Linked DNA regions of Mus musculus: region 1 is reported to be linked to region 2. Evidence: microRNA targets listed by miRTarBase, many of them from high-throughput screens and not tested one by one. Region 2 holds a microRNA gene; the other region holds the end of a gene's coding sequence.

Evidence for each region. The annotated mature microRNA mmu-miR-3076-5p reads CACAGGGGAAGCUCAGUGCCAGCC and lies in region 2 at 5,469-5,492, opposite strand. An mRNA with a match to its seed (bases 2 to 7 or 8) in the 3' UTR can be bound and repressed. Matches are read on the target gene's strand: a 7mer-m8 pairs with bases 2 to 8, a 7mer-A1 pairs with bases 2 to 7 and ends in A, and an 8mer does both.
Region 1: the mRNA of Lgr5 is a reported target of mmu-miR-3076-5p. Seed matches in the 3' UTR shown: 7mer-m8 at 1,136-1,142.

What each region holds. Positions count from the first base shown.
Region 1 is chr10:115,436,242-115,452,473 of GRCm38, reverse strand. Lgr5 (leucine rich repeat containing G protein coupled receptor 5) reads left to right here. Exons shown (of 18, transcript NM_010195.2): 18 at 1-2,160. The coding sequence ends at 460. Among named protein-coding and RNA genes, the nearest start is that of Zfc3h1, 59 kb to the right of the region's middle.
Region 2 is chr14:30,561,400-30,577,641 of GRCm38, reverse strand. Mir3076 (microRNA 3076) reads right to left here and starts at 5,493; the gene lies at 5,434-5,493. It overlaps Tkt (transketolase), which reads right to left. Exons shown (of 14, transcript NM_009388.6): 5 at 11,963-12,154; 6 at 10,582-10,700; 7 at 9,285-9,478; 8 at 8,503-8,667; 9 at 7,530-7,686; 10 at 7,309-7,439; 11 at 6,596-6,679; 12 at 6,397-6,490; 13 at 5,312-5,434; 14 at 2,918-4,305. The coding sequence ends at 4,130.

The sequences.
Region 1 (16,232 bases), not on the chromosome of region 2:
GCTGGAGAATCTTTGGGATTGTTCGATGGTGAAGCACATTGCTCTGTTGCTCTTCGCCAACTGCATCCTTTACTGCCCCGTGGCTTTCTTATCCTTCTCCTCTTTGCTAAACCTCACCTTTATCAGTCCTGACGTCATTAAATTTATACTTCTCGTGATCGTCCCACTTCCTTCCTGTCTCAACCCACTTCTCTACATTGTCTTCAATCCCCATTTTAAGGAGGATATGGGCAGCCTGGGAAAGCATACCCGTTTCTGGATGAGATCAAAACACGCGAGTCTGCTGTCCATTAACTCGGACGATGTTGAGAAACGGTCCTGTGAGTCAACCCAAGCCTTAGTATCCTTTACCCACGCCAGCATAGCCTATGACTTGCCTTCCACTTCCGGGGCATCACCAGCTTACCCCATGACTGAAAGCTGTCATCTCTCTTCAGTTGCATTTGTCCCATGTCTCTAGTGACTATGAGAGAGGAACGTTTTTAAGAGTTGGAAACCTGAAAAGTGATTTCTATCAGAGCAGTAGCTAAGAAAAGCTGAGCTAAAAACCTACCTTAAAACCCAAGCAAACATCTCTAAATTGGTGTGGAAACAGTGGTGCCTTAGAGCAGGAGAGCATCATTAAACACCGCTTGTATCATTTGTTCAGCTAAGAAGGAAAGCCATCAAGTCACTTAGGTGAACCCAGATGAGAAAAGCAGCCTGAAATGCTCTTCGCATTGTAGTCTCTTCTGACTCACCAGCATAGTCTCCCATAGTGAGAAGACTCGTTGGATGACTCAATGGGTGTATTTAAATCCACAAATTCCTTGTTTAAAAGGTTAGAGTTTTAAGAAAAAAAAAAAAAAGGATCTTTAATGGGCTATGTTGCCCACAGAGTTTAGTTTTAATGGCTACACAGAGATGGTTGTGTGTCTTTTTGCCTTTTGACGGACAGGCTCCTTCCAAGACACCAGTTTCTTGGACTGACATTTTTAATCCATATATAAATTTAAGATACTGGCTTCTAAGCCGGGCGTGGCGGCGCGCGCCTTTAATCCCAGCACTTGGGAGGCAGAGGCAGGTGGATTTCTGAGTTCGAGGCCAGCCTGGTCTACAAAGTGAGTTCCAGGACAGCCAGGACTATACAGAGAAACCCCTGTCTCAAAAAACAACAACAACAACAACAACAAAAAGACACTGGGTTATATAGATAAGTATCCAGTGCATTCTCCCTTGCTGAGATAAAACTGGTTTCAAGGTTTTTTGGAACATTAACTTAAATGGTTCCTCGAGCAATTATATATAGGTAAGATTTGGTTATCTTCCTCGAGCAATTATATATAGGTAAGATTTGGTTATCCTGATTCGTCTTTTAAAATCCTGGAGTCTGAAGCTCAGAAAGTTCGTTGTCAGCCGTGGTCATAGCTACGAAAGACAGTATGAAATTGTCGGATCTGTATTTATTTCTGAGTAGGAGCATGCTTCTGGCAAGATGTTCATCACTCTCTCAAATGGCTGTGCATTTTCAGTGCTCAAACGCAGGGCGTTAAGTCCACTGTGTAACTTCACACACCCATCTCTGGTAGCTCGAGCAACAATGCCTCTCCACACTTCGGACTCAACAGAAACTGGGCAAAGTAGGATTCGGTGCATTTAGCTTGGTTTTAGCTGTGTCTTGTTTCCGGATCAACCACTTGATATGAAGTTCATTACTTCTCTGCTTAGTCCATATTCACGCAGGTGTTCGATGTTTCAAGACAAATTGTTAAATCTGGAGAGCGAAAGGTTTATTCTTAACTTCTGTGATCTTACATTAGCTTTGCTGCACCCGAACCAAAAGGCCATTAGGTAGATTTATTTTTATATAAGCATGTTTTATTTTGACCAGATGTTTTAATGTGGAATTTAAAAAAAAATACATTTATGAGATGTTTTATAAGATGTGTACATATAGACTTGTATTTATTGCTACAGGAAAAATGCAGTGACATTAAAGAACATGATAATAAACCATGTACAGTAGCCTATTCTCCCAGACATATTGTTTCTCTGCCAATTTCCCCAATGCATTAACTGTACATAACACATGTAAATACGTAGTGCTTGTAAATAGATCCAGAATTTGCTTTTCTACTGGGCTCAAAATAAATTTGTAATAAAATGTGTGACTTGCAAAACAAACTAGCTCTTTCAAGTGTATTGATTGAGAATGTAGACAAATGCACGATCTTCTAATGTTTTTAAGTACTGGTGTATATATTCCTACCTATTTGTGCTCTAATCCTTTAGATATGTTGGACTCAAATTTTTCATGAGAATGAACCAAAATATATTTTTTAGCTTCTGAATTATCTTCCCTGTAACTCCTAAGTTGTGGCTTTAGTGTAATTTGTTGTCCCCCATGAGGATTTGGATATGATAGTCTACAAACTAGTTTCAAATTTCTTAGTAATATAAGAAAAAAAAACATTTTAAAGCCTAATAAGAAAAACATATGAAAAGCAAACCAATCTTAAATTGTCTAAGGTGTGGACATGTGTATATATCCTAGAGTGGATATATGTGCATATATCCTAGAGTGGATATACACACATTTCATGACCATGTCAAGAACATTCACTCCCAGCATACAATAAAATGCACTGCTACCATTCAGTTCCCATTGCCCAAAACACAGGAAATATAATTTTCTAGACACCCCATGTCAGACTAGCAACTTCAAAAGGCTCTGCCTGTGCCCCCCTGGACTGTATACGATGGAGGACCAGCACGACTGCTATAAGCCAATGCTCACAGCACACTCCCAGGATTGCTGGCACTACCTACCCCATGTCCATCAGACTTAACCGTATCCTGAATCCCAACCCTAGTTAACGGGATCCCGCTGTGCAGTCTGTACTTAATTCATCTTTGGGTAAAATAGGAGCTTCTCCCTCTTGGCTCCATCCCTTCCAACTCAGGTTACAGAGAACACACCTCTACCTTTCTTCTCACCACACTTTATTTGTTGGACAATCTAAGTTTGGAACATGCTCTAGAAACGTGTCTGTCTCTCCTGCTCCAGGAAGCACAGGCAATAACGTGATTTTTTTAAAGGGAAAAGGTTTGTATCAACCTTTATTTAAAACAACAACGACAACGACAAACCCCTGCATTCCTTTACTTTATTAAGAAAACACGAGTTAGACTTCACAGAGCACTGCTCTCAAGTGCCCGATCAATGCTCTCCACTAAGTAGAAAGAACTGGCGTTACAGCAGGGAAAACATACAACAAGGATTTATAGGCTAAACAGTAGCAAAAAAACAAACATTTGAAAACTAACCACCATTGCCTAAAGTAAATGATTTAAATTTATGGTTTCCAAAGTGCCTTCAGGGGCTGGAGAGATGGCTCAGCAGTTTAAAAAAAAAAAAAAACAAACAAACAAAAACAGAAACAGAGACAGAACAAAACCTTGATAGATCCAGGGCGTCGACCAGTCCTGAACTGGGGTAAAGCCTGTTGGCGCTTGACAAGTTCCACATCCCTCAGGGGCGTCAGCAGAAGCAGCGGACCCACCATGAGGACCAGATTTGACGCTAGTTTAGACCGAGGAGTACAGGGAAGGTTCTGCGTCTTGTAGAGGCTTTAGCAGAAGCAGAAGACCCAGGTCAGGATCCAGTGCTGACATCGGTAAGGACTATTGAAGGTCCACATGCAGAGGCTCAGCAGAACCTTTGGGCTCACGGGAGGGACGGGCTCTAACTCTGGAAAAGGCCCACAGCTGCGTGGGGTTGCTCCACGACTCACAGTACAGCTGTAGATCCAGGCAGGAGACCCAAGCTAACACAGGTCGCTACATAACCGTCCTAGAAGACCTGAGATAGAGCCCCCATCCCTAACCACCAGGGCCACGGAAGGAAAACACACCTAACCCTAATGTTACTTAGCCCTCCATGACAACTGCAAACACCACTATAAAAGGAAAACCGGGCATCTGAATTTTAAAAATAAAAAACACAAAAGGAAAAATATCTCAACCAACAAACAAGGTCTTAGTTGCCTAAGACCTTGTGCAGAAAGAGAAAAGCGAGAAAACCAGGCATTGTGAGTGCCCACAGATTAGTAATCCCACAGGAAACGGAACCTAATCAAAAGGACCTGGAAGAACTTCCAAAGGGCTCTAAAGAATGATCATAAAAACATTCAAACAACTCAAAAGAAATGGATTTACCCCACTGGAATGAAGGCAAAGACATGAATAAATTAAGAGAGTTAAGAGAAGTCAAGGGGGAAAAAATGCAATAGATAGGATTTCTGAAGAAATCCAAACTGCAGCAATGCTAGAAATGAGAACCTCATTATACCAAATGAAAAGCTCGTAGAAGCCGGGCATAGTGGCCCACGCCTTTAATCCCAGCACTCAGGAGGCAGAGGCAGGCGGATTTCTGAGTTTGAGGCCAGCCTGGTCTACAAAGTGAGTTCCAGGACAGCCAGAGCTACACAGAGAAACCCTGTCTTGAAATACCAAAAAAAAAAAAAAAAAAAAAAAAAAAGAAGAAGAAGAAAAAAGAAAAAGAAAAGGAAAGGAAAGCTCGTAGAAAGCCTCACCTGCAAAGTGGATTCTGCTGAAAAAAAGAATTGGGACTGGAAGACAGGGAATTGCCCCATGCTGTAAAGTTCAATGATAAGATATATATACATGAACAAAACATGGGAGAGTCTGGGGACACCATAAAAAGACCCAACTGTTGAATTATGGGCATAGGAAAAAAACCAATATCATAGTGAAGTAGTAGAGAATGTCTTCAACAGAATCACAAGAAACTCTCCTGAACCCGGAGAAGTAGAAGACCATTCTACTGGTAAAAAAAAGCCTGTAGAACATCAAACTGTAGAACATCAAATAGGCAAACCCAGGAAAGAAACTCCTTGTAAAATTAAAGACAGACTAAAAAGAGTATTAAAAGCTGGAAAATTGAAAACGCAAGTCATTTATAAAGACAGGCAGCCCATCAGAATAACACTTGATTAGTTGACAAAACCTTTTAAAGCCAGAATGGTGTGAAAAGATATACTCCAAGTTCAGAATGGCCAAAACCTGCCAATATAGGCTATTATATACCACAAAATTATTTACTAAATTTATGAGAGAAAGAGAGAGAGAGAGAGAGAGAGAGAGAGAGAGAGAGAGAGAGAGAGAGAGAAGCCTCCAGGTAAGGTGGGCACTGTGACACACACGTTTAATCTCAGCAAATGAGAGGCAGAAGGCCAGCACATCTCTGTGGTTTCAAGGATAGCCTGGTCTACATAATAAGTCCCAGGTCAGCCAGGCCTACATAGTGGGATTTCTTACTAAGAATTTTTTTTTAACACAAAGGCAGCTTTAAGGAGAGTACTAGAAACAAGCCTTCAGTCTGAGAGCAAGTACAAACAAGCCCAGGAGTTTACAGGGAATGAATAAACACTTCCTGAAGAAAAGAGGCCTAAATAAAAAAAGGCCAAAAGCAATAAATATGGCAGGAATTAATATAAATCATTTAATAATAACTCTCAATTCCCTAATAAGGAGAAGCAGACTACCAAAAACAACCTATATATTAAATTTAAATTAATTATAAATTTAATGCAATCCCCACAAAAATTACAAGACAATTCTTTACAGGAATAAAAAAAATTCATAGGGAAACATGAAAGATTCAGGATAAATAAAACAATGGTTAAACAATAAAAATGCTGCTGGAGGTCTCACCATCCCTAATTTCAAACTATACTGCAGAGCTACAGTACCAAAACAGCATGGCATCCTTAATAAAGCCAGGCACGATGATATGAGGGGCCACATAAAAAGCCCACGCTCCTTCGGCCACTTGATTTGGGTTTGTTTGTTTGTTTGTTGTTTCATCTTTGAATTTTTTTGTTTTTGTGGGGTTTTTAGAAAGAAGCTAAAAATATACCCTGGAGAAACGACAACCAAACTGCTAGCCAAACTGGATAGATAGCTCCACGTAGAAGAATGAAACTAAACCCTTATCTTGCACACTGCACAAAACTCAACTCAGAATGAATCAAGGACCTCAGTATAAGGGCTGGTTTGAATCTGATAAAATAGTGGTTTTCAATGCTATTACCCTTTAACACAGTTCCTCATCTTGTGGAGCCTCCCCCCGCCCCGCGCCCCCAGTCATAAAATTATGATCTTTGATGCTTCAGAACTGTAATTCTGCTACTGTTCTGAATCACAATGTAAATGTGTTTTTTGAGGGTGGCAACGCACAGGTTGAGAGCTGCTATGATAGACGGTTGGAGATGAACCTCAACTGTGAGCAGAGGGAAGTCCTTTCTGAACAGGGCCCCAGGAATACAGGCACTAAAGCCAACAACTGACCAACAGGACCTCACCAACTGAAACTTAGTTATCAAGGCAAATTGAAACTACTTTGAGATCTCATCCTATCCCAATCAGAATGGCTAAGATTTTTTAAAGTGACAATTAATGCCGGTATAGAGATAGGGAAAGGAACATACTTTGTGCATTCACTATTATGGATTATAACAGGGCAGCCATTGCTATATGGAGTCAGTATGGAGGTTCCTCAGAAAGTTAGAAACAGATCTATTATATAACCTAGCTGTACCAGTCCTGAGCCTAATCCCCACAGACTCTATATCCTACTACAGATATGCTTGCCCATTCATAGTCCACGCTGCTTAACTCACAAGAATCAGAAAATGCAATAGCCTAGATGTCCATTAACAGAAGAATAGATAATAAAGATGCAACGCACATGCTGCTAAAAAAAAAATGAAATGATAAAATCTGTAGGCAATATATGGAGCTTGAAACAATCATTCTGAGTGAGGTGACCAAGACCAGAAAGATTAAACACTGCATGGTTTCTCTCGTGTGTAGATGGCAGACTGGAAAACGTACATGTGGGTGTTTAATTTGGAGTTCCCACAGAAGTCAGGACAACAGTGAGGGTCCACGGGATGGGGTGGGGTTTCCAGGGACGAGTGGAACAGAGAAAGAACACTTGCTTCTCTTGCAGAGCATCAGCGTTCAGGACCCAGCACTTGCATCGAGTGGCTTACAACTGCCTGTAACTGCACTCCAGGGCACCTGATGCTGTCTTCCAACCTCCATGAACACCCAGAGAAGCATGCAGACACACATACATGCCTAGGCACACATAGGCAGACCTGTGTACAAACAGATAAAATAAATAGTTTTAAGCTATCTTTATCCGTTCAACAGATACTGTGTGGGAACGGAGTGCAGGGTTCTACTGGAGCTAGAAAACAAGCCCCTTAACCTGTGATCCAGCAGCATGAAGAGGAGCGACTGTCAACCAGCCGACATCTATTCGGAGCATGAAGGAATTTAAGATACTCAGAGCAGCAGTGAGTGGCAGGCACCCTACTTCAGATGCAGGGCTCCACAAAGGTCTTGCCCAAAAGGCAGATTATTTTATTTTTAAAGCAGACCCATCTTTGCTTTTGCATTTAACCAACTACATTAAGAAAACTCATCATCCTTTAAAAAAAAATTACTTATTGAGGCATCAGAGATGGCTCAGCACTTAAGAGTATTGGCTGCTCTTCCAGGGGTGCTGAATTTGATTGCCAGCAACCACATGGTGGCTCACAACTGGCTAGAATGAGATCTGATGCCCTCTTTTGGCACACAGGTGTACATGTAGATAGAGCACTCGTAGCCATAAAATAAATTTAAAAAAAAATTAGGATTGATAAGATCTAATCTAATATTTGAAAATATAACAATATCCTGCTTCTGAGGCTGGAGAGAGATGGCTCAGCAGTTAAGAGCACTCACTCTTCTTTTCAGAACACCCGTGTTTGGTTTCTAGCATTTATAAGGCACTTTACAACCATTTGTAACTAGAATTCCAGGGTATCTGAAACACCCTCTTCTGGCACTGTGTACACATGGTGTATGTACATGCAGACAACAAAAATAAAAAACAACTCTACACGAAAGAAAGACAGAAAGAGAGAGAGAGAGAGAGAGAGAGAGAGGAAGGAAGGGAGAGAGAGAAAGAGAGAGACAGACAGAGAGAAAGAGAACAGAGGGAAGGAAGGAGGAAGGGAAGAAGGAAGGAAGGAAAGATCTTACCTCTTTTGATAGTTGCCCAGAACCCATTAGCCATCATGAGAACAGGTCCTGTATAAAGAGGATATCTCCCTATGCCCATAGCTCTTTCACACTTGGAAATGTCACATTATATACATTTTACATATAAAGGAGACCATCTCCACTTAGACCACTAAACACTGACCATTTTCTCTGTCAGGCCACAGAGGCCCTAAAGGACAATTAGATTATGGCCACTTTCTCTTGCAGGTGAAGTGGCCAGGTTGTGACTATTCTGGATTCAGTATCCTTATGTTCCTAAAGTTGCTGAACTCAGATTCTCCACTCACTTGCTCATCTCAAGCACAAGCTCCAGCATGTCTGGCTCCTGATGCCTAAGGAGAAGACGATCGCATTTCAGTTCCCCTGAATGCAGAAGTGGGTTTAAAAACAAGAAAGTGCCATGAGCCGGAGGGAGCCGGAGGGAGCCGGAGGGAGCCGGAGGGAGTGCCACGGAGCACCAACTACGGAGTGTGTGACATCCTGTGCTCTGAGAAGGACAAGCAAAACGCATCTCAATGGAGCAGTGTGCCAATAGTGTGAGACAGACAATGATGTCCCAATAAGAATAAGAGAAAAAGGGAGAACACCCTACGTGGGGTGGGGGTGGGAAAAAGAAATGAGGGGTTCGAATGATTGAAATTCACTGAATGCCTTCTTTAGTACCAGATCAAGTCAGGCCAACTAAAATAGTCAGTCTTGATGGCTAGATACATCCGAACTCAAAATATTCTGTATGGGACACTGATATTTACCTCTTCTCAGCCTCAAAATTCTTCACAGTAAAACATAAATGATATCTCCAGGCTCATCGAATTGGGAATAGTAATAACCGGTGTATTTACACATTTATCACATAACCTGAAAATAGTACCTTGTCTCTCTCTCTCTCTCTCTCTCTCTCTCTCTCTCTCTCTCTCTCTCTCTCTCTCTCTCCATACACACACACACACACACACACACACACACATCACCTCCACAGCCCTACAGAATGAGCAAAGCATTTAAGAGTTTCCAATGAAGAAAACGTGTCACGGGGGTGTGCGACCACCTGGAAGCCTAGCAGTTAGACTGTTACCTTTATTGCTGCTGTTTCTATGATTTTGAGCTATAACTCCAGTTATTTGCCTATTGTCTGTCCTTCTCACCCCTGGAGCAGGCTCATGAGCTGTAGGCCTGTCTGTAGTATGTGGCGAGGTGGAGAAACGTCTGACTATCCAGACAAAGTGTCCAAGGAGGAGGGAGAAGAAGAGAAGGAGAGGTTGAGAAGAGTGGAAAAATTATTTTCTAAGGTCAAAGATGAGGATCTAGGACTAAAACATGAGCAACATTTATCAGCACCCAGAGAGCATCGTAGAGAATTATCCGTCTAGAGAACAAGGAGCCATGGCCCTTGTTCACATAACCCATACGAGATCACCCAGAACATTCAGTCATCAAACCCACGTCCTGTAACTGGAGAACTCAGCTCTTGGCCCTAAGCAGTGGGAAGTCAGTCTACCCAGTGTGAGCAGAGAAGAAAGGTGTAGACTTTCATTCCAGGGATCAGGAATCAAGGCCTGTCGTGTCATTTCCCAGTCTTTGACTCCATCTAATCTTTTCCCTCAAACTCCTGATGAAAGTAATAACTCCCTTACTGCAGGAAATCGCAGGGTTAGAGGCTGTTCTTTTTGTTGCTGGCTCTCTCCAGTGGTGAGAAGGGCAGAAAAGAGGGTCAGAAACCAGAGCCATAGCTCAAAATCATAGAAACAGCAGCAACAAAGGTAACGGAGCAAAGCCAAGAGGCTACAAAGTATTTCCTCCGCAGCTGCCTAATGTCCTCGTCTCTCACCTTTCTGCCCACTTTTTAAGTTTTTAATTTGTGTGTGTGCATACGTGCATACTCCATCACACCCATATAAGGTCTAAAACTACCTTTCTCCATCACGTCTCCCTGGCCACCTTGTTGAGACAAGCTGTCTCGTATTTGAGCTGCACGCTACACTCTAGGCTAGCTTTCCTGAGAGCATCCTTCCTCTTTCCTGAACTCTCCTCCCTCTTGCCTTTGGAATGCTGAGACTACATACGCATGCCCTGCGTCTGGCTCCTTTATGTGGGTTCTGAGAAGCACACACAGATTATCAGGCTTGTGTGGTAGTCACTATTACCCACAGAACGATCTAAGTGGTCCCCTCTACATTCTCCCTCGTCTCTTATGGGGCGTGTGTGTGCTGTCCACTCTTTAAAAAAAAATTATATCATTCATTTATGTATTACCACGTGGAGATGAGAGGACACGTTGAGAAGGTCACATCTGTCTGTCACCATGAGTCTTGCATGGAGCTCATTCATCAGGATTGAGTGCACAAGGGCTTTTTTTTTTTTTTCTTTCTACTAGTCTTGAATTTATCATGTAGGCATGGCTGACTGACCAGCAAGTCCCAGGGATCTACCTGTCTCTCTCTCCCCAACACAGGCCTTCCCTAGACATCCAATCTTTGATCTGAAATTGTTTTTTTTAAACTTCCAGCTCCCAGAACTGTGGAAAGGACAGTTTCCCCCTGTGACCCCCATCCCCGTTCCCTATCAATGGTATTGCTTTATCAGGCCAAACCCTCTAAACCAGTGCCTCTCGGCCTTCCTAATGCCGCAACCCTTAGACACAGTTCCTCGTGTTGTCGGGATCTCCCAAACATAAAATTATTTTCATTGCTACTTCATAACTGTAACTTTGCTACCATTAGGAATTGTCATGTCAATATTTATGGGTTTGGGTGCTCTTAGGTGACCCTGTGACAGAGTCCTCTGACCCTCCGGTAGAGAACCACTGCTCCAAGACAATTTTTTTTTCTCCTCACTAAGGGAGACAGGTTGGAAGCACTGTGTATATTTAAGTGTGTGTGTGTGCATTTGTGTAGAACCCAGACAATTGTGTGTTATCCTCAGAAACACGATTTCCAGGCATCAGGCAGTACATACAGAATAACCAACCCATCCAGGGCCCAGGACTTTTAGAAACTGTAAAGAGTGGGAAAGCTATGGGAAAGCTATGGGAACTAGTCCATGTCCCCATAGTTTGCAAACACTTTCTGATCACAGACCATGTCAAGTCTCCTGTGTACTTGATTTAAATCAGAGCTATTAGGTTTGTTCTCCTAAAATTTCAAATCACGGAACTTCACTCCCGAGAGTTCCCTCACTAGGATCGTGATGGGACGAGAGTGGAAGCAGAAGAGTTCGAATTGAATATTGACTGTCACTACCACGCAGGAAGCAAAACTGCATCTGTTGACGTTTGGGGAAGGAGACTAAATGTTACCACGCTGAGAAAAACGAAGTAGTAACATGGCAAAAAAAAAAAAAAAAAAAAAAAAAAGAAAAGAAAAAGAAAAAAAGAAAAGAAATAAAAGCAGAAAGGAGCATAATGGTTCTCATCTGTAAGCTCAGCATTGAGGAGGCTGAGGAAGGAGGATTGCTTTGAATTAGAGGGTAGTTTGATCTTCTCAGTGAGAACCCATCACAGATAAACAAAATGCCAAAAGCTTTACAAACAATCAAGTTTCTTAAAGTCCTGGGCCCTGGATGGGTTGGTTATTCTGTGTGTACTGTCTGATGCCTGGAAATCGTGTTTCGGAGGGTAACACACAATTGTCTGGGTTCCATTCAAATGCATACATGCTTAAATATACACACATAAATGTAAAGAATAAGTTTAAATGTTCAAGGGAGGAAGTGTTTTAACCCATATAAGCCAAAGGTCTATCCCAGTGCCCAAATGGATCATTCTGGAGAAGCCTGGATCAAGACCCAAACGCAGATCTATCCGATGAGAAGTGTAGAGAATGAAGAACAGCTTTCTATCCTGAGTAGTTGTTTAATTGAATATACCTCAGGCATGTTTGTCTAGGACAGGCAGCCCATCATAACAGCTATTATGTGAGTTTGATCTCATGTGTCAGCTGCTTTATGTATGATACCTCATTTCATTAGGACACAGCCTGCAAGATGGACCTCATTATCACGTTTGTTTTGGAGGCAAAGAAGAAAGAGGGGTCAACCTTGCCAAAGATCACTTGCCTGGGAAATAGTGGTGGCGAGCCCTAGACACGTTTCTGTAAACACTCCAACACTTTTCAAAGAGCAGCCCCTGGGCGTTGGCTGTCAGGCCGCACTCTAGTCTTAAGAATAATTATTTGAGATGGGTTCTCACTATGTAGCTGGCCTGGAACTCTCTCTCCATGTAGACCAACTGGCCTCAAATTCGAGAGATCTGCCTACCTCTATGCTGGGATTTAAGCTGTACCACCATGCCCAGCCCAGCAAACTAAATCTTAATACACTGTCTACTTGGTCTTTAGGTCTTCCTTCCTCTATTGGAGTTTTAAGCAAATCCACCCCACATCTCTTAAGGTCACACAGTCAGGCTTGGCATCCAAGGACAGCTAAAGAGAACTTGAACGATATGAAAGCGTTGTTTGTACCTTTCTAGCCCTGGCCTCTCACATATCTAAATAAGTACTCTTGTTTCCCACCCTTACATAGTTCCCAAGTTCAATGTAGTTTTTACTTCAAACACTTTGTGTAGCTGTGAGTACATATTCCATTTTCTGTCCTCGGTCAGTCTGTTACTTTCTTCAGGCTGTCCCACAACTGTTTAGCGAAATGAAGTTAATCCATTGTGTTTTCAGAAGCCATACCGAATCACAGAGACTCAATCAAAGGGATGCAGTGTGAAAAGAACAAAGAAAAACAAGGTAGGTGTTTCAGGTTGAGAACTCAAGTGTCACCATGAATTGTGTCACCTCTCAATTCCTCTTCTCCCAGAAGGCTCTAACACTGTTGTATTGGGGCAGCTACTAGAATTCTAGACTGCCCACTAGCTTGCTAAGAAGAAAAATTTTCTCAATTTCTTCAAGGGTCTCGGTGGACCAAGTTCACAGGAGACTTTATGCAAAGGAGCATATTCAAAGTCATTTTCTTAGGTTCCTCGTGTGCTATCCTTGTGATTTGGATTATTTAATTTGTTACTCAATTTGCAAGCTGTAAAATGGGGATTACAGTATTGAAATGGGTTGTGATATGGAACAGGGTAAACCCACAAGTGTTCTTTTCACCTTTGTTGTTTCAAGTTAAAGAATTGTAGAAAATTGTCAACAGAAGAGTTCTAAGTGATTCACTGTTGTTAGAGCTAGTATCACTTGTGTCACCCTGCAGTCTGTTTACTCAAAGGTGACATGGTAACAGTGGTATGTAGGGACTCCAAGCATGTACTCTTCCTACTTTCATTTTTGTGGTCTTCATAGCACCTTTAAGGGGGGGGGGGCTGCAGCCCCCCACAGAAGTGGTCCAGTGGGGTTTTTTTGTTTATTTTTTCTGAGTAACAGGAAAAAACATGGAAGTGGTGTCAAACTTCTGGGAAGCGTTCTTAAAATAGGTTTGTTGTACTTCCCCAGGATTTCTAATCTGCTAAGTCAAATGAAAAGAATAGGATGGCCAGGGGAAGCAGTTTAGAATCATCAGGATCAAATTTTCCCAGTGATGTGCAGTTTAGCAGACCCACCTTTGTCAAGTGCTCTCTGGACCTGGAAGGTAAGTCCCAGCTTGGTTGGGACTAGTAGTGCCTCATGGTGCTTGAATGGATCACAAGCTTTAATTTCATTCCCCATTTCAGCCTTTGGCTGTGTACCCATGTATAAGACCATAGCAACCATATCTGGTAAATCTTTGAGAATAGAGTTCACACAGGATGGAACAAGGAGAGCAGAAGCAGGCCCCTCCAGCTCTCTGGCATTATGAAGCCTTTTTGCCACTGACCCATGTACAAGACATGCCAACCATATTTAGTAGTTCACTGGGAACAGTTTCAGGCCAGTTTGACACAGCCGAAGTCATAATTTGTAGGGGGGGGGGATATTTTTCCTAAGTGTGCCTTCAATACAAACTATATATAAGCTTCTTGCCTGATGAGGTCATTTTATGATAAGCTTAAATTGGTCAATTTGCCAAGCCTTTCATAGGCAAAGCCAATAAAAAGTGTAAAATGGTTTGGTTGGCTACCCTTAATTCATTATTGAGAGGTCTTAATCCTTTATTATACCACAGAAACCAATCTAGTCATCACAATGGGCATTTAGATGAAACTTCAGGTCAACAGCTTTACGGACAGCCCCTGCTCCAGTTGGGAGACCACATAAGGAGCTGGGAGCTGTGTAAGGGACTGGGGAGGGGAGGGGAGGAGAGCAGAGATTGGGATGTGCAGTGAATGAATGAATAAGTAAGTGGGAAAAAAAAGCATCACTAATAGATGTTTGCACGTTAGAAACCATGGCACGCACAGGCAGGTTCCTAGCTGCAGTTTTGCAATGCCGAGATAAAACCCAGGGTTTCAAATAAGCTGGGCAAGCGTCCTACACTGAGCTGTACCCCACACCCCAAGGTCTCTGATATATTTCTCAGAGCAACTCAATCACACCTGAGCAATGTTTGGGTGAGAGTAACGAAACTATGCTCATGGGAAACAAACAGTTATTTTATAGTGTCGCCGCTCATTCAAAATACTATTTATGGTTTAGATGTGTTTTAAAGATAGCGTCCATTGTGGATGTCGAACACCCCTAATGTAAGTAGACACTTTTTCACACATTATAGACATGAGTGTGATAAAGAAACAAGCAGCACTCGAGTCGCTGTCACTGCAGCGCTGACCGATGGCAGCTCTAACACTGAGGTTCCCCGAGACAGGAGCTTCTCCACTGCTTCCACACCTTCAGTTCCCTCAAGCTTTCTCTGGATCTCCATCTGAGCCAGCATACAGTGCCAACTCCCTCCCCAGGCAGTGTCTTAAACCTTAAATGTGCTATATGATTTGCCAAGTTGAGGGTGTTTGGCATTAGCAGCAGATGCCCTGATTATCTCCACTAATGTAGACAGACTGACAGTAATCCATCACTCAGCAACTCCAAGCTGTGGCCTTCATCTTCACAAGGTAAGACTATGGACATGACTCAGCTTGTTTAATGGACCAAGCAGTGGAGAGCCACCTTTGTTCAGCTGACCTGATAATCAGCCTTGACGTTTTCCAATTACCAACTTAGAAGGGAAAATGAAGTATAGACTCTTTAAAGATGACTGTGAAAATTTTTATATTTGGATTAAGCTTTTTACTTAACTCATTAGAGATGTTCCTTGAGGTATATTTTTATATATTTTGTACCTTTTGTCTTTGGAGCACCCCCCCACCCCCAGCACTCACTGTAGCCACACTGGCCTCACAGTTTTCTCTGGATTTAACTTCCAATTGACTGCAGGTATTCCTGCTACTGAGCTAAAATGTCATATGAAAAAGTCATTTAAAAGCAATGAAGACAAGGCTGGGCAGTTCTTCCACATAGATAAATAACGGTCACTCCTAAGATTCAATGGAAAATAAATGTGTGGCTTTCAGGGAATTCAAATCGTGCTTTGTGTGCTTTATGTACTAAGAAATTACAAAACTAGCATCTTTACTTATACAACACATTAGGGGCTGGGGGGTAAAGCAAGGAGGAGAGCTGGTCCCAGTCGCACTCGCCCTACCGAGGCTCTAGTCAGATTCGTGTGGAGTTTCTAGGCAGAAGGCACGCCAGGAGGACCTTTCTAGCATTCCCAGTCTTATTTGTCATGTTTAACAAGTGGAAAATTAATTTAAACAAAGGAAGCTGTTTTGGATGTTACTTCTCTTTGAGACAGCCCTTACAATGCATCCCGGATGGTCTGGAACCTACAACCCTCCTGCCTCGGCCTCCTGAGAGCAGCACAGCACTATATGGATCGCAGGTTGGTTTGGTTTGGTTTTTTATGTTTATGTTTCCAGAGACATGTAACCCTTTTACAACACAGGCTTTACTGGCCTAGTAACACCAGTTTTCATTAGTCATCCTCCATGAGCTGTAATACTGACTAAACCCAGAGGGCCTTTTCCAAATCAAGTTCAGAGCTGCTGGGAGGGTGTCTCCTTAGCATACTGTTCTCTGTTTTGGTTGGAATGTATGGGAACCCTTTTATTCATCTCTTAACACAGAGCATAAACAGATCTGTAAAGAAAATATGCCCAATTCTGTTTTGAGAAAATGCTGAAAAAGGTCTTACAGCATCCT
Region 2 (16,242 bases):
ATGTAATTTACCAGTCGAGCATCAGACTTTTATAATACAGAATAAATTGCAGAACAAGGCACATTGAATTATTCCAGGTGCAAAAGGAGTGACTTCAAAAGGAACCAGATAAATGTATATCACCACCAGAGATAAGCACAGAAGCAAGGGGAGTGACTACAAAGGGAATTTGTAGGGACCAGATAAATGTTTACATTAGAGATTAGCACTTTCTGCCAGGCAAGAGTTTTACACTTAGAGTTAATTGCCTCAGGGTAGTTAACTCTTGACACGCCTCAAGAATAATGTAGTGTCACTGACCCCAAAATTCTCTAGGCCTCGTTAATTCTTATCAATATCTGAAGACTGTCTAATTTCAGTATAGTATACTAATTTGCTCTTGGCATGGAATGTAGTCTGTAATAAGAATTTCTATCTCAGTGAGAATTTTAGTCTCTATCTGTAAACTGCTGAGTAAAATGGCAAGTGCTTAATTGTTTACTGAATGGGTAAAGCTCCTTGCTGCTATCTGGAGTCTAAGAACACTGGGAAAAGGCTTTAGCTATGTTAGAATACAATCTTAAAAGGCATTTACTATAAGGTAAAGCTATATAGAGTGCACGTGGATCCATACACTAGACTAAAGTGGATTTGGAAAATTAATTTTATGGGTTAGGGAAATAGCCAAAGATCCGGGAGAAAGTTTCCTTGAAACTTTTTTCTCATGAGAAAGCTTTCAGACTTTCATCTGTTAAGCTGACTCCACCGGAGTCCCTGGCATTGTGGCTAACACTCCTGCCTGTATTTTATACTTAACTTATTTTCTGTGACTAATACTGCAAATCCACATGTCAATAAATCCCAGCCCCCTGCCCGAGGGGCTTGATTTCGGGATTCTCATCCAGAGACCGCTATGGCTTTCACCTTTTCCCACTCTCAAAGGGAGGACTCGAGGGGCAGAGGTCCAGATTCCTCCCACGTGCACACACCCAGGAAGGAAGGGGTGCTTGGGAGAGGTGAGGATGGATGTCACCCCAGCCTTGGAGCCAGAAATGTGGATGGCAGCCAGGGGGATGGTGGATAAAAGGCGCATGTTCCCTCTTCAGGGGTGATAATATGTCGCACAGCTTGGTGAGTCTACTAAAACACCATTGACTTTTATTTTGAAAGGGTGAACTGTACAGCATGGATCTCAGTAAACTTGACAGGGCAATGTTAATAACAGTCATCTTAAAGTCTAACAGCTAAGTATGCCGGGCAGCTTCCTGAGTTCTGGGCCTGACTCACTGTTAACTGTAGGCAGCCCCATGTCTGTAGTCACCGGAAACCTGGTGCTAAAGGCTACTTGCTTGCCCTGAATGAACTGCTCTGAAAAGCAACATCTCTGAGCCCTTACCGGACAGTGTACTGATGGTATTGTGGAATGTATCATAGTTCATCCTCCCGGCAGCCCAAGGGAGCTGCCTTTATTCCCATTCAACGGATGAGGCACAGGAGGCTGGGGAGAGGACTCTTCCTCCACAGTGCAGGAGGATGGAGGCAGGACTGGAGGCAGGACTGGAGAGAGCTGCTCCTTTACAGTTGTGATCTGGAAGGTTTGCGAGGCTCCCCAGCCCTGCCACCTATGCAGCTGAAGACTGAGAAATGAGCAAGGCACTTTCTTCCTGTTACCATGTCCCAGTGCCCACGTGGTGTGAGTGACAGGAGACCTTGCTTGCTTCAGCCGGCTACAGGAGGCTCTCGCTGGCCCAGGGAAAGTCCTACCTTTGTGCAGCCTTGAGCCTTGGCCCTGACCAGGCCCAGGAGCTACAAGGAAGCCTCAGGTGCTCATGGCGGTCTTCTCACCGTCCCAAGGGCTGAGGAAGAAGTAAAGGCTTCCTCAGGTTCCTGAGGCCTAGGCATTTGGGATTCCAGCACACTCTAGAAGGCTTCTCACTAAAACCCCAGACCAAACCAAACCAAACCAAACCAAACCAAACCAAACCAAACCAAACCAAACCCACAGCAGCTTCACCTACTCCTCAGAGTTCCTGGCTCCCTAAATGCCAGGTGTTTGATGTTGTAGACTGAGTGAGTTTAGGTGACTGTGCCTCAGGAGCACCTCTGCCCGTTTACTCCCCAGGCATCTATCTGGCTGCCTGCTTAAGCTTTAACCATCTCCTCAAGAGAGTGCAGGCCGTGGAGAGCCTGAAGGTGAGAGAAGCCACCTTCCCCATCTCTGCTCTGGAAGTCACATGTTCCCCAGACCCCTACCTCTTGCCATGTTAGGAACCTCATACAGGCTCCTTGAAGCCATCTATGTACAATTCTGCTGCCTGGCCCAGGCACCTGTGAAATCCTCAGAGCACCGCACCAGCTCAGGCACTGGCATTTCTAGTTCTTATCCCTCACCCCTCACTCAGCCTTGCACATCCCTGGGCCCACAGACAAGCAGCAGCAGGTGGGTGCAGCAGACCCTCTCCGGTGCTACGGTTGGGAGTACTTGTCCCATTTTCTTCTGGAAACATCTTTTCATGAGCCTATAACCTCTAGGGAGAACAGCAGTTTTGCTGACACAAAGGGCACTAAGCTGCAGGCACCTTCCATCGTCCTACAGGACAAGGACTTTTACATATGGTTGACTACATAGCATCCCCTTTAAGGAGGCCACAAGGACAAAAATGGTAGCCACAAAAACCCGAGGTGCAGTCCTTTACTCTGCATACTGGGCTGTAGTTAAGCCAACTTAAGCTCATCTCCGTGTAGGTTATAAATGAATGGTTATTTTATTTGACCATTACTGGGGGGTAACCCCTAATCTACTTTCCTAACTGCTGGCCTGGCTACCTCCCCAGCCGTGTGCCCCAGACACTTGCCAGTTTCTCTTGGCCATGTGCTCAAGGTCCATTCCCCCCACCACCTCAACTCCCAATCCCACCTACCTCTAATCCTCCAGTAATTGACTGTAGCCATTTTATTTAAACAATAGTTTTAAATTAAGGAAGAAGGTTTGCACAATAAAAGCCTGTAGACTTTTGGGTACAGAATTTAGCATTGCAATACATAGACCAATCCTTAGCACTCAGCCAAGTGGAATGCCTTCTAAAGTGGTTTCTTGTAGTAAGGATTAAGTAAAATGCATACAAAGTTCAGTAATGTCACTGTCACCTCCACCTGCTGTGAGCTTTACAGAGTTCAGAAAACACCATCCCTAGTCTCCTTCCTCAGATTCCTCTGTAGGGGTGTGCTTAGCACTGTAGTACCATAAATGGCCACCAGGTGGTGACCAAGCACCCAAGCTTTACTGTTTTTGTTCAGAACTACATAACATATTGTAGTTATGTCCAGACTCAAAACTCGTGGCTGAGAAGTTCCTCAATTGTCCTGACAGGGAGATGGCTTGCCTTCTTTTCTCAGTGAAGGAGAGTTCCTGACATGCGGAGCTCAAGGCCTCCCAGGGTGTGCCCTAAGATCACCCACTGAGGAGTCTCTGTCATCTCCCTGAGACAACCTACCTGCTCTGCTGTTTCTGGAGTTGGTACCATACAGTTCCCTGGCATGGAAGGATCGGGCCAGGCAACTCGCTAGCTGAGCAGTTTGTCGACAAAGGGCAAACATGCACATAGCTCAACAAATGGGCCCCATCCTCCCTAAGGGCACTGCGGAATTCCTAGGAAACAGCAGTGACCACCCATAAAAGGAGGAGTTGTGGGACCTTGGGGGCCATGGTGCAGCTATGGAGGGCCCAGGAAGGTTTTATAAGGCAGGAGGGAACTCCATGGTGTCATTTAGGGTACACTGGCAAAGGAAGGGGCTGGATCCTAGTTTGGCTAAAAGGCAGGCTGCAATGAGTGTCCCCAGTTATGACTTGGTGGGAGCAGTTGTGGCTTTGCAGAGGCTGAACTGGAGAAGGGGATTCCAGGGGACACCTAGATCCAGGGGACACCTAGATCCTGACCCCAAGCCTAGAGAGCCAGCTCTCTCCCTCTCTCCCCAGTCTCCTTCTCATACTGGCACTGGATATGTTTATATCACAGGAAAAAAAAAAGAGTCTGAGGATTAATTTTTTTCTCAAAACATATATTTACCTCCCCACTCAGTACACCTTCGCCACCTCTGCCAGAACCTCCCTGGAATGTGTAGTTCACCCACCCAGCATCCCATGCCCTCCCTAGCCCTTGGTGACAAGGCCTTTCACAGCTTGCACAATGGCGTCCTTGTCAATACCGAACATCTTCAGTAGCTCAGCTGGCTTGCCACTTCGTGGTACTTGGCTGACAGCCAGGCGAGTGACCGTCACTCCAGGTTCACCCACTACGGCAGCAGACACTGCCTCTCCTATGCCACCTGTGCAGAGGAAAGTCAGAGAGGTCTTAGTCCTGAGCCAGAGATGACAAAGACACAGCCCTTGCCGGAGCAGACATCACTAATCCACCAGGGTTCCCATGATTTATTCTAAGTCCAGATGTGCACTTTCTTTTTGTCACTTTTTCTTTGCCACTTGCCTGATTTTACACAGTGCTGGGGATTGAACCTAGGGCTTCATGCACACAAGGCAAGGACTCTACCATCAGAGCCCTACATCTATTTGTTTGTAGCTTTGACTGGCCTAGAACTCCCTATGTAGCTCAAGGTGGTCTTGAATTCAGAGATTCACCTGTCTTCACCTTCTGAGTCCTGGGATTTAGCCTCAACATTTAGCTTTATGTAATTAAAAAAAAATTGTTTTTAAACGTGTACCGAGTGTTTTTCCTGCATGTCTGTGAGCCACATGCTTGCTCCACGCCCTCAGAGGCCAGGAGAGGACACTGGGGACCTATAGATGCTTTCGAAGGCTATGTGACTGCCGGGTCTTCCCTGCTCCTTGAGTTAATACTTTAAACACTTCTTTATCTAGTATGTGTGTGCACACATATGGTACAGCTGGGGGTCAGCTTGACTCCCACAAGTTGTGCATTTGACCTTAGAGTCTCAGCTCGTCTCTCCTCAGAGGCTCCTGTAAGAACAGGCATGCACTTATAGAGGACTCAAGAAGACACTCGGTACTGTCTTTCCTGTTTGTTCCTGTCCAGCCATCTTACCTCCTTGATACGAGGCCCAGGAGTTCAGCTGTGGCCAGAAAACCCAGAGCCTTCATCAGTATAGCTGAGACCTGGCCTCTTCTGAGGCTTTAGGCTTTGGTATAGGGATCCAGCTAACCCATTTGCCGGCTGGCTCTACTCCCCGAGCCCCTGCCAGGCCGTGAGTGGCAAAGGCGGACTGTCCTCAGAGGAACTTAAAGTGGTGTCTACCTCTTGCCTCCCCTACTGCTCTCTCTGGCCTTCCCTCGCCAGGCTGGTGCAGCCCCAGTTACCTTCGTAGTAGTGGTCCTCCACGGTGAGGATCCTGCCTTTGGTTGCTCGGGCAGAGTCTAGGATGAGTTTCCTGTCCAGGGGCTTGATAGTGAAGGGATCCAGCACCCGGATGCTGATCTTATCTGCAAGGGAAGACCAGAGTGCGGCTAAGAGAAAGGCTGGCACTGAGCTTCCCCTGTGTTAGAACAGAACTCCAATGGCCCCTTATCCCGAATGGGGCGTCTTGGGCCTAAGAAGAACTACTCTTTGGTGGCTAGCTGTCTGTCCACTTACTCTCACCATTGAGAATAGCTCTTCTCCCTATTCTCTCCTGTTTGGGAGAGATAGTGGTCAGCTGGGTGCCCTGTGGACCGACTGTTAGAGCAGACTATGGGGCTCTTATCCTCCTATGCCTTTGAAGATAAAAGGAAGACTTCAGATATCTGATCTAACATAAAGGTTTTTGGGATAGTGGGGAGAAGAGCTGTAGCCAGAGTGACTTTCTCAGAATAAAAGCCACCTCACCACACCCAGCTGCCTAGACACCCTGTCTGGGTGGAGCTTTCTTGACCTCTCAGGCCCAGCTTGCTACAGCCTCAGTCCTGTTCACCCCCACATTGCACAGGCCACTCAGGTCACCCAACCAAGGGACCACCTTTTGCTTCCTGGTGCTCACAAGCTTGAGATGTGACGTGTCTGGCGATCTCACTGAGAGGACGAGGCTGACGCTCTGTCCCTACGGTATCACTAGCTAACAACATTATACTTATAGTAATAATAACAGTATGAATGCCAAGGCACACCTAAGGCCTTGGGACAGTCATAAAGGCTAAGTGCCAGTTTACACGTGGGGAATCGGAGACACAAAGACGGTGAATAAGTCATTTAACTAGTGACCGGCTGAGCTGTGACTTCAGTTTTCCTGGCAGGCTCCATGGCCTCCGATCTGATACAAAGGGATCATAGGTGAGGATAGTCACCAGTCCTAGAACATAGCATGGACATGGCGTAATGGCTCAAAGGGTGGCTTCAGTTATTGTCATCATGACTTAACTAGAGATTCTGTGTGACCAGCCTGTGACCTCCCTGGTCCCTTTCTTCTTACCTTTCTTTAGACTCTCTGCAGCAGCCAAGGCCTCATGCAGAGTTACACCAGCCCCGATCACTGTCACTTGGTCATCCTTGCTCTTCAGGACCACCTGCGGGTGACATGGGGACAGTGAGGGGCCAGAGCAGGGTCTGAGAGTAGAAGCAGCAGCAGGGTGGGTGGCTCCCTCGGGTTCTCATACACGAAGGGCACTGACCTTGGCTTGGCCGACCTGGAAATCCTCATTGTTGCTATAAATAATGGCATTCTCTGGGCGGCTGGTCCGGATGAAGCAAATGCCCTGGGATTGGAACAGATAAACTGAGAAACACGACAGCTTGGTCTTCTAGAGGGCCACCCTTCCTAGATACAAGCCTCATTTAGTCAGTCAATTATAACCTGGGCACAGTCATTGTGTCCTGGCGCTATGGCAAAGAGATGGGGCTGGTTCCCTGTAGCTGGTACCTCTGAACACAGGAGAAGAAGCACCCACAGCCTGGCTAATCTCAGACTGGAAGCAACTTCTAAAAGGTAAACTGGCTTGGCTTCTCAGTGGGGCTACTCCCCAGAATGCCTCGGTAAGGCTGGCCCCGGCTCTCGGGTGGGACACGGGAAACTCTGTATGCCAGTCTGAGGCAAGTCAGTTATTGTCCTGGACCAGAGACTCGGGTTACTGTCCTTCAACCCAAGGAAGGCAAACACCAGTGGTCAAGCTGGCAGAGTGCCCATCAGCTGGCAGTGTCTGCCATGATGCATGACGAATGGTATGCTTTGATTTTCTCAGTCTTGTTTCTTTAAGGTATACACACACGAGGGACATGGCCAGGAAATGCCTCCCTAGGCAGCAAGTGACCAGCTCTACCTTGCGCTGGCCTCCTCTTCTGCCTCTGTGGAAGAGCTAGCTTCCAAAAGAACAGCCACACGACTAACCTTTGTGTTGGCTGCTAACTCCACTGCCTTCTCTGTTGCAACTCCATCGCTTGGGTAAAAGACGGTGGACATGGGGACTGACCGGAACATGGCCAGGTCTTCGAGGGCCATCTGAGAGGGCCCGTCTTCCCCTGGAGTATTGAAAAGAGGCTGATGATTGGCTCCAGCTTCCAGCGTGCCCTCCCACACGCACTGGTGCTTAGCAACAGGTCTGAACTCACCAATGGACACACCACAGTGGGAGCCACAGAGGTTGATGTTGCTCTCAGAGATGGCGGCCATGCGAATCTGGTCGAAGGCCCGTGTGAAGAAGGCCGCGAAAGTACTGCAGAAGGGCACTGTCCGGTCACGTGTGGCACAGCCCACGGCAATGCTCACCTGAGGGCAGGAGGGCCAGATTAGCCCTGAAGAACAGGGAGCCCAGAACCCTCCCGAGGCCACATGTGGGAGGCAGAAGAGGCTGCGATCCTAGTATGCTAACCCTCGAGAGTTGCCTGGGTACCCGTGGCTCTGTCATCTGTTTCCCAGCCCCAAACTCCTTTGACTTGAAATGATTATTTCAAAACTCTTAAACTCAGTTTCCTGGGCATGGTGGCGCACGCCTTTAATCCCAGCACTCTGGAGGCAGAGGCAGGCGCGGATTTCTGAGTTCGAGGCCAGCCTGGTCTACAAAGTGAGTTCCAGGACAGCCAGGGCTATACAGAGAAACCCTGTCTCGGAAAAACCAAACAAAAAAAAAAAAAAAAAAAAAAAAAAAGACCAAAAATCAACAAGTTTCCTTTGACACCAGGATGGTTGCAATCTATAATCCCAGCAACTTGGGGCATAGGAGGATCGGGAATTCAAACTAGCCTTAGCTACATACTGAAATCTAGGGTGTCCTGGGCTACATAGGAGCCTCCTCCTCCCTTTTTTTAAAGGCTCTATAGACCAGCAGGTCCCCTTTACCTCCATTATCTGTCCTATATACAAGCTCCTCCCTTGGGAATAATCATCCCCAAAATTGGCTACCCAAGGTCAAAGGTCAATGTGGGTTCTAGTTACTCTGTGGTTTTCTTTCAGCTGACCCACGGCTGTCACTCAGCACTGTCAATACGGCTGCCCGAGGGAGAAAGAGGGCTTCCGCCTGCTGCTACCTGTCAGGATAGCCCTGCAGCTGTGGCTGTGTGTCCTTCACCCTACCCAGGCACCCACCATGTTTTGCTCGGCAATGTAGCACTCAATGAACCGGTCTGGGTGCTCCTTTTTGAAGAGCTCCGAGAAGGTGGAATTCTTGGTGTCTCCATCCAGGGCAATGATACGGTCACTGGCGTGGCCCAGCTTAGCGAGGGCCAGTCCATAGGCCTTCCGGGTGGCTATCTGTGGGCAGGAGCAAAGGCTCTGAGGACCACTGAGGCATGTGCGAGGATGGGGTCTAGAGTCTTGTCTGACTCTATGGGGTTTTGAAGCTTCCGAAGGATGAGAAAAATGGGAACCCAGGAGTAGTGCACGCTTGTAACTCTAGCACTAGGGAGGCGAAGGCAAGAGCATGCTGAACTTAAGGCGTCAGGGAACTGAAAAACAACAACACAAAGAGAGAAACAGAAAACGAGGCCAGGAACTGCACACACACAGGAGCACAAGGGCCCAAGAGCCAGAAGGCTCAGCTGTAGGCTGCATGGATGGGTTTATGCAATGAAAAACCTCGATCAAGACAGCTTTGCCTAGCTTTTGCCAGACTATGAAAAAGTCCTGATCTCTACAATCATTTCAACTAGAAGCTTACTGTGCAGCCTTAGGTAAGTCCCCTGGCCTCTCTGAGCCTCTACAGGCTTCATAACTCCCCCATCAGGGAGCAGACAAGGAGCCCGAGCTCTTAGGCCACACTCATCCTCACAGCCCCCAGAAGGCACATCTTGGCGAAGACCGTGGGAAGCCAAGGAAGCAAGTAGGCCCACCCCGGTTCCAGTCCATTCACAAAAGAGCCATCCAGGTACCTTGTCCCCCACTTTGTAGCTGGGTGGCGTAGGCATTCGGATGTTAGCAATGTCCACGGATGGGGCATCCTCCTGAGGGGGCGTGGCCAGGATCTTCTTTTTGCTCTGAACCTGGCTGTAAATCTCCTGGATAATCTGCTCGGCCATGTTTTTGGGGAGGGGCTTCCCGTGCCACGCCTCCTTGTCTTCAATCCCTGTAGGACAGGAGACAGGAGGTCAGGTAAGAATGCCCACAGAGGAAAATCAGGGCAACAGTGGTGTCACAGCAAAGGACTTCTGGCCACCACTCAGGGAAACGGCTCAGATAAACAGGAAGAGGAGGAACCATGTGGAGGCAGATGTGGGTCCCCTTTGCCACTGTCCCTGCAGGCCCTGACCCCAGGCTCCACATCCTTGTCAGAAGACACAGGGAGAGAGAAAGTACTGCCAAGTTTATCTGACACATTTGTGAGCAGAGTCGGGTCCTCTCAGAGCTTTACCATGCGAGGACCAGTGAGGCTTATCTATCTGAGGACACTTAATGCCACTGCTGCCCAAGTAGATCCAAGAACAGACCAACCCTTCCAGGCTGCTGAGCTACCTCCAAACCTGCACGGGTTGCAGGGACTAACTCAAAACTGTCAGGCTTAGAAGCAGACACCCTGACCCACCACATCATTGTACCAGCTCGTTTTTCCTTTATGAGACACAGTCTCACATAGCCCAGGTTAGCCTAAAACTCTCTTCTGTTCCACCACCAAAGTATTGGGACACAGACAAAAATATACCACATATTCCTGGTCCTATCTTCTGTCTTTTTTTTTTTTTAAATAACTATTTGAACTAGGTGAGAGTTCTCACTGTCTCTGATCATGTATACTCTGATTTTTCCATCTTTAAAGTAGGCAAGGGTTAAATGAGGAGGCCTTGGGATCCGGCATTCACCCCTGGTGTTGCATAGGGACTATGCCTGCTTCACCCCCAAGCAGGAAACCCTCATCTAGGGACTGTCGAAGGCCTCTGCCACACGCTACTCCATTGCACTGCCTCCTTGGTGAGAATTCAGGTCTTTCCAGGAGCTCCTGGGCTGTACAGTGCTATGCTATACTGCAGCCCAGGGCAGATGGCCAGAGCAGGCAGGGACAGTCCATTAAGTGACACCCTACACTAAGGTAGGGTACAGGGGTTTTTCCTTCAGGAAACTTCTGTCCGTCCATTTGGCTCAGTTGAGACCTGTCACTTTAAGGAGCAGCCAAGAGCAGGCATTTTTCCAGCTCAAGGGTGGTGGCTGTGGGGCTGGGGAAGCTCACATACAGACCTGTGATCCCTCGGCCCTTGAAGGTCTTGGCAATGATGGCTGTTGGTTGGTGCTTGGCCTGACCAAAGGCCTTGCACAGCTCCTCCACGCTGTGTCCGTCCACGATGATGGTGTGCCAGCTGGGGACAGAGGCAGCACAGGGTAAGGGGCAGCCAGGTGCCAGAGAACCCTGGAAAGCCCCCAGGAAAGATGTGGCCCGGCATCTGGGAGCTCCATACCATACCACATGCATACCATTTCACTGCCAAACTCCAGCTGCTAAGTCTAAGTCACTACTGTTTCCAATCTACACTCTGCTTCCTTTGCTGAGTTTTAATTTCCCTCTTTCCAAACAACCCAAAGCTTAGCTTATGCGCTGCCTTTTTTCTCCTGATCCACTCATTTCCTCCTAAGCCATATTGCAGGCAATGCACTGAGTTTGGAAGCCACTTGTTATTAGATTCACAAAACGCTTGGCTCAGTGTTTATTTGGAGGACACACCTGACCTCCGCAGATGCTGCCAACTCTTCTACACTCAATCACGTTATCCACCACATGTCAAGGAACTGGGACAACTCTGTGCACCTAGCTGGGGAGCGAAGCCAAGGACTTGGACATGCTAGGAAAGAACTTTACCATTGAGCTAGGCCCTCGCCATCACCTTTGGGCATATTAATGAAGATTGTATGTATGTAGCTCAGTGGTAGTAGCACTTGCCAAACACATGAGGCCCCAGTCCCATCCTCAGAAACACACACAGAAACTATAATTTGTCCAAGGTCATGGGTCAAGTTTACATAGGCCCTAGAGGATTATACTCAAGTTTCCAGCCACATATGATCTTGAAAAGACCCTGCAGGCTTGTTGTAGTCATTTCCTTATCTACACAACCGAAAGAATATTCCTAACCCCCACCTCTTCCCTTCGTAAGGTCAAGATACCTTGATGGCTGTACCCCCCAACAGTCACAACAAGATTCATTACAAAGGGCAGCCATGATGCTCACCCAAGTCCTCAAACCCTGTCCTTTAAATCCCCCTCAGGCAGTGTGGCCCCTCAGAGCCACCAGCTCCATCCAGAGTATCTCGTCTTTGGGGCTGAGGAGCCATGCTGAGGTGAGGAGCCTTCAGGCTGGCGCATGCTTCCCTGCTTTGCAGCACTTGGTTTGGAATTCACTGCAATGAAATCTCAGGTAGGAAAGCCCTGACATCAGGTCTCTAGGGGAGGAAGCCTGTCCCTAACCCCCAGGCTGGCTTGGGTCCCCAAACACATGGGTTTCCTGTCCCATCCTCACGGTCAACTTACGGAGCCTGTATACAACTGTGTCTAGGTGGTAGGCTGTACAACCATGTAAAAGAGCCCTTGCTTTAAAGGAGCCCCTCTCAGGCCATCCGTACGTACCCAAAGGCCTCACAGCGCTTCTGGTAGATGTCCACCTGGTGCTGCAGCGGGGCTGGGTCGCTCTGGCCCAGGCGGTTGATGTCAAAAATGGCAACGAGGTTGTCCAGCTTGTAAATTCCAGCAAAGGCCATGGCCTCCCAGACGGAGCCCTCGGAGACCTCCCCGTCTCCCAGCATGCAATAGACTCGGTAGCTGTGAACAAAAGGCAGGTTGTAGGGCTGGTCCCTCTCCCCTGGGAGTGTGAAGCTCTCAATACCACCCTTCCCAGAAAACCTATCAGGCAGCCTATGGAGAGCGGGCAACAGGGATCTGGAAGGGTCATCAGTATCACTAGGATCCTAATGGCTGGCCCACAAGAGATGACGGGGACAAGAGGAAACTAAGGAGACATGGTCGGAAGGACTTGAGAGGCAAGTCCTCTAGCAGGAGGGGAACTTGGGAGCCAGGCTCAGTCCACCTAGGGGAAGAACAGGCACAATTGCTTGGCATAGGAACTAGGTGTCTCAGAGGCAGGCTCCTTTGAAGCCCAGGACTTTGTCCTAGGCCTTTCTCCCGTGGGGCTTCCTCTCAATACAGGCAAGTGTGGTCTTCTCAAAGCATAGCGGCGAGGTACGAGCATGAAATCAGGACACGGCACTCAGAGAACACAAGTTTTGTCATGGAAGGGTGGGGCTAGAGCCAGGGGACTGGTTCTGAGAGTCCCAGAAGAGGTGAGGGTCTGGAGGTGAGGTAGCAGCGCCATAGCTGGTGCAGGGCCCTGAACTCAGTGACATTCTTGAGATGAATTCTCCAAATCCAGAGACCAAGAAAACATTCCACAGTCAAAGGACTTGTCTGAAGGTTACTGCATCCTGGACTGGCATCTCCTTGCTATATTAAAATACATGCAGGAGGGGTGATAGGATGGGGGTGGGGTACCCCTACATCTTGCCTGGTGTCCAACCATGTGGCTCCGGCTGGCCAGGCTCACAGAGGACATAGATACTCCCTAGCTGTTCCTGAGAAAGGCCCTCAAAGTGACTGCAGGCCCAGGGCCAGGCAGTCAGAGCTGTCAGCATGACTCAGCACTTCCGCAGCCAGAACTCCCTTCATGCTTCCTGCTTGGGGCTTCTCTTGTAAGGTGTTTGTTAGATGGGATCACTGGTTACCCTGGCTAGGAGGGACTATAACTTGGTTTTCCCAAGTTGCCTTTTCTCTCCCTGCAGGTTACCAGGGGCCCCAAAACCCCAAGGGAGCTCTGGCCTGACACAGCAGCTCCCCATGATAGAAGCCAAAGAGGCAGCCATGTAGGGATCCTGACCTCCACAAAGAGCTTCTTGGGGGGGGGGGGATATATGAATGGTTGTGTCACATGCTCAACACATATCCGGAAAGTCAGACAGGCACCAAGCGGGGTTACAGCATAGTCTTGTATGTCAAGATTAGGGACAAGGCTGGCCCCAGAGGGTCAGAAGACTAACGTGAGGGGGGGACCCTAAGGTCCTGAGATGCTAGTCTGAATAGATGTGGGGGTCTAGAGAAACCCTAGCTGGAGATGCCTGTCCTGTCCATTTGAATACAGGTATCAGTATCGCTCTCTAGAGATACCCAGCCAATGACAGAATTCTTAATACTAGACTTGCTCAGGGTTCAAAAAATTCAAAGATGTTGGGGCTTGGGGAACAAGTCAGTAGAAGAGTTGCTAGCTTACTATAATCAAGGCCTTAGCTTCCCTGCGCCCCCTCCCCCAAAAAATCAAAGATATAAGATGTGCTTAAAAACTTAGGCCAGTCCAAAACCAACAACAGTTTCAGGTTGAGGTGCCTGCCTAATGTGTGTGATTCCTTTTTTTGTTGTGAAGACAGAGTCTCACTATGTAGCCTTGACTCTGCTCTGCAGCCTGAATGGAGGGATTAAAGGCAGCAGGCAGGCTTAATGTTAATTGTGATAAATTCCATCTACTCTACTCTTTAGATAGCAGAAATAAAAGCTCTACTAGATTAGAGGAGAAACTAAAAAATAAATAAGGGTCAGGAGCTGCAAAGATGAATTCATGAGCTCGGATAAAGATAAAGCCAGTGTTCACACAGTAGAGCTATCTGGAAACCACTTCGCATAGAAGGCACGGCTAAACGAAATATAGTATGTCTACAGGACATTATACAGCCACTAAAACAGCCCTGGCTCACTGGGCATGGTGGCGCACGCCTGTAATCCCAGCACTCGGGAGGCAGAGGCAGCCAGATTTCTGAGTTCGAGGGCAGCCTGGTCTACAAAGTGAATTCCAGGACAGCCAGGGCTATACAGAGAAACCCTGTCTCGAAAAACCAAAGGAAAACAAAAAACAAAAAACAAAAAACTTCCTTTGCTCATTAAACACTGAGAAAATGCCCATGAAAGACTGTTTAGATGTTTTAGGGCTCAGCAGGTAATGGCACCTGATGCCTTATTATTCTCCAGTAAACCTCTGGCTTCCACACCTCGCCATGGATGCTATGCGCAAATGGGGCCGGGGAGGGGAGGGAGACTGTGTTAAAAAGCAAGATGTGAGAGCCGGGCGTGGTGGCGCACGCCTTTAATCCCAGCACTCGGGAGGCAGAGGCAGGTGGATCTCTGAGTTCGAGGCCAGCCTGGTCTACAAAGTGAGTTCCAGGACAGCCAGGGCTATACAGAGAAACCCTGTCTCGAAAAATCAAAAAAAATAAAAAAAAATGGGCTGGTGAGATGGCTCAGTGGGTTAGAGCACCCGACTGCTCTTCCGAAGGTCCAGAGTTCAAATCCCAGCAACCACATGGTGGCTCACAACCATCCATAACGAGATCTGACTCCCTCTTCTGGTGTATCTGAAGACAGCTACAGTGTACTTACATATAATAAATAAATAAATCTTTAAAAAAAAAAAAAAAAAAAAAAAAAAGCAAGATGTGAACTTATATTAGGATTACAAATTTGTAAGCCTTTTTATGAAGACTTTGAGGGCAAGAAATATATTATTAGATTTAAATTAGGGCAAGGGGTTAAGAAAAGAAACTGAAGCAGGATGATCAGAAATTCAAGGTTAGCCACAGCAACTTAGCAAAATATAGATAAATAATAAAATGAAGAGCTAAGGTATATGCATGCTCTCTCTCTCTCTCTCTCTCTCTCTCCCTCTCTCTCTCTCTCTCTCTCTCTCATGACTGCTCAGTGCTGAACTGGCAATATCAACATGTCATTCCATGAGGGGCTGTTGTCTTCTGGGAGATCTGAATTTTAAATTATGTTTTTCATTGAACAGCTCTCTAGGATGCAGGTCTTTTTGGAAGTGCTACTAAACTTAGAGTATTTTATCCTTGTAAATAAGAATTTTAGCTATGCAAATGATAGGTCACAAAGACTATTAGACGTGTGTGTAAAGTATTGTAGTTTTGAAAACCCTGGAACAATGTTTTATTGTCCTTGAATTTCAAAGAGTAACATACTAGGAATTTGAAAACACTGAGAAATTTTTTTAAAAAAATTATCATTGATGAATAAATGATCTTAAAAACAAAACTTTTAAAAGACCTTACAGGGATACCACGGCAGTAGCCCACGCAGCTCTATCGGGGTGCTACCGCTGGGTGCCTGGCTGGGCCTGATAATCTCTTGGTGCCCTAAGCGATCTGAGTCCCCCCCACCCTCTGGGTACTGTCTGAGGGCCCAGGTCTCAGCCAAGCCTGGCTCTACGCCAACACAGCCTCTGGGAACTAAAGCCCTTCTCTCTACACTGGCTTGTTCTATTATGTTGAGGTCAGAAAATGATCCTTCACGGGGAATTATTTCAAGCAACTGTAGGGAATAATTAACTCACATCTATGGTTCTAGGCCAGATAAAATGTTCTTAAACATGCACCTCATTCTCTGAGACACATCACCTCAGAGTGAATCACTTCTGGGTGCGGCTACGCCAGCCCTAAAGCTCAATAGCTGTCATCCCAGTGACCCTGGACTGGAGGCTGGGTACTGGAAGGATTGGGGCTCTCCCAGAGACTAACTTTGAAGCCCCCCCTGTCCCCGCAAAGAACTTCCTGCGAACAGTAGGTACTCTCCAGTGTGTAGGGAGAGCAGTCAAGCTTCGTGCAGCTGCCTGTCCTCAGAGGGACCTGGCTGTGGCCACTCTTCTGTGGCGTTGGCCTTCAGGGAAGTGGGATGTCCCTGGCTATGGGCCAGTCCCCTCCAGTTTTCCTCGGAAGCTCTTTGCCCACAGGGTACCTGGGGACTATGGGTGTGCCTTCTGGACACTCCGAGCAAGACCGGAGGATCTAGGTGAGAATTCTCCC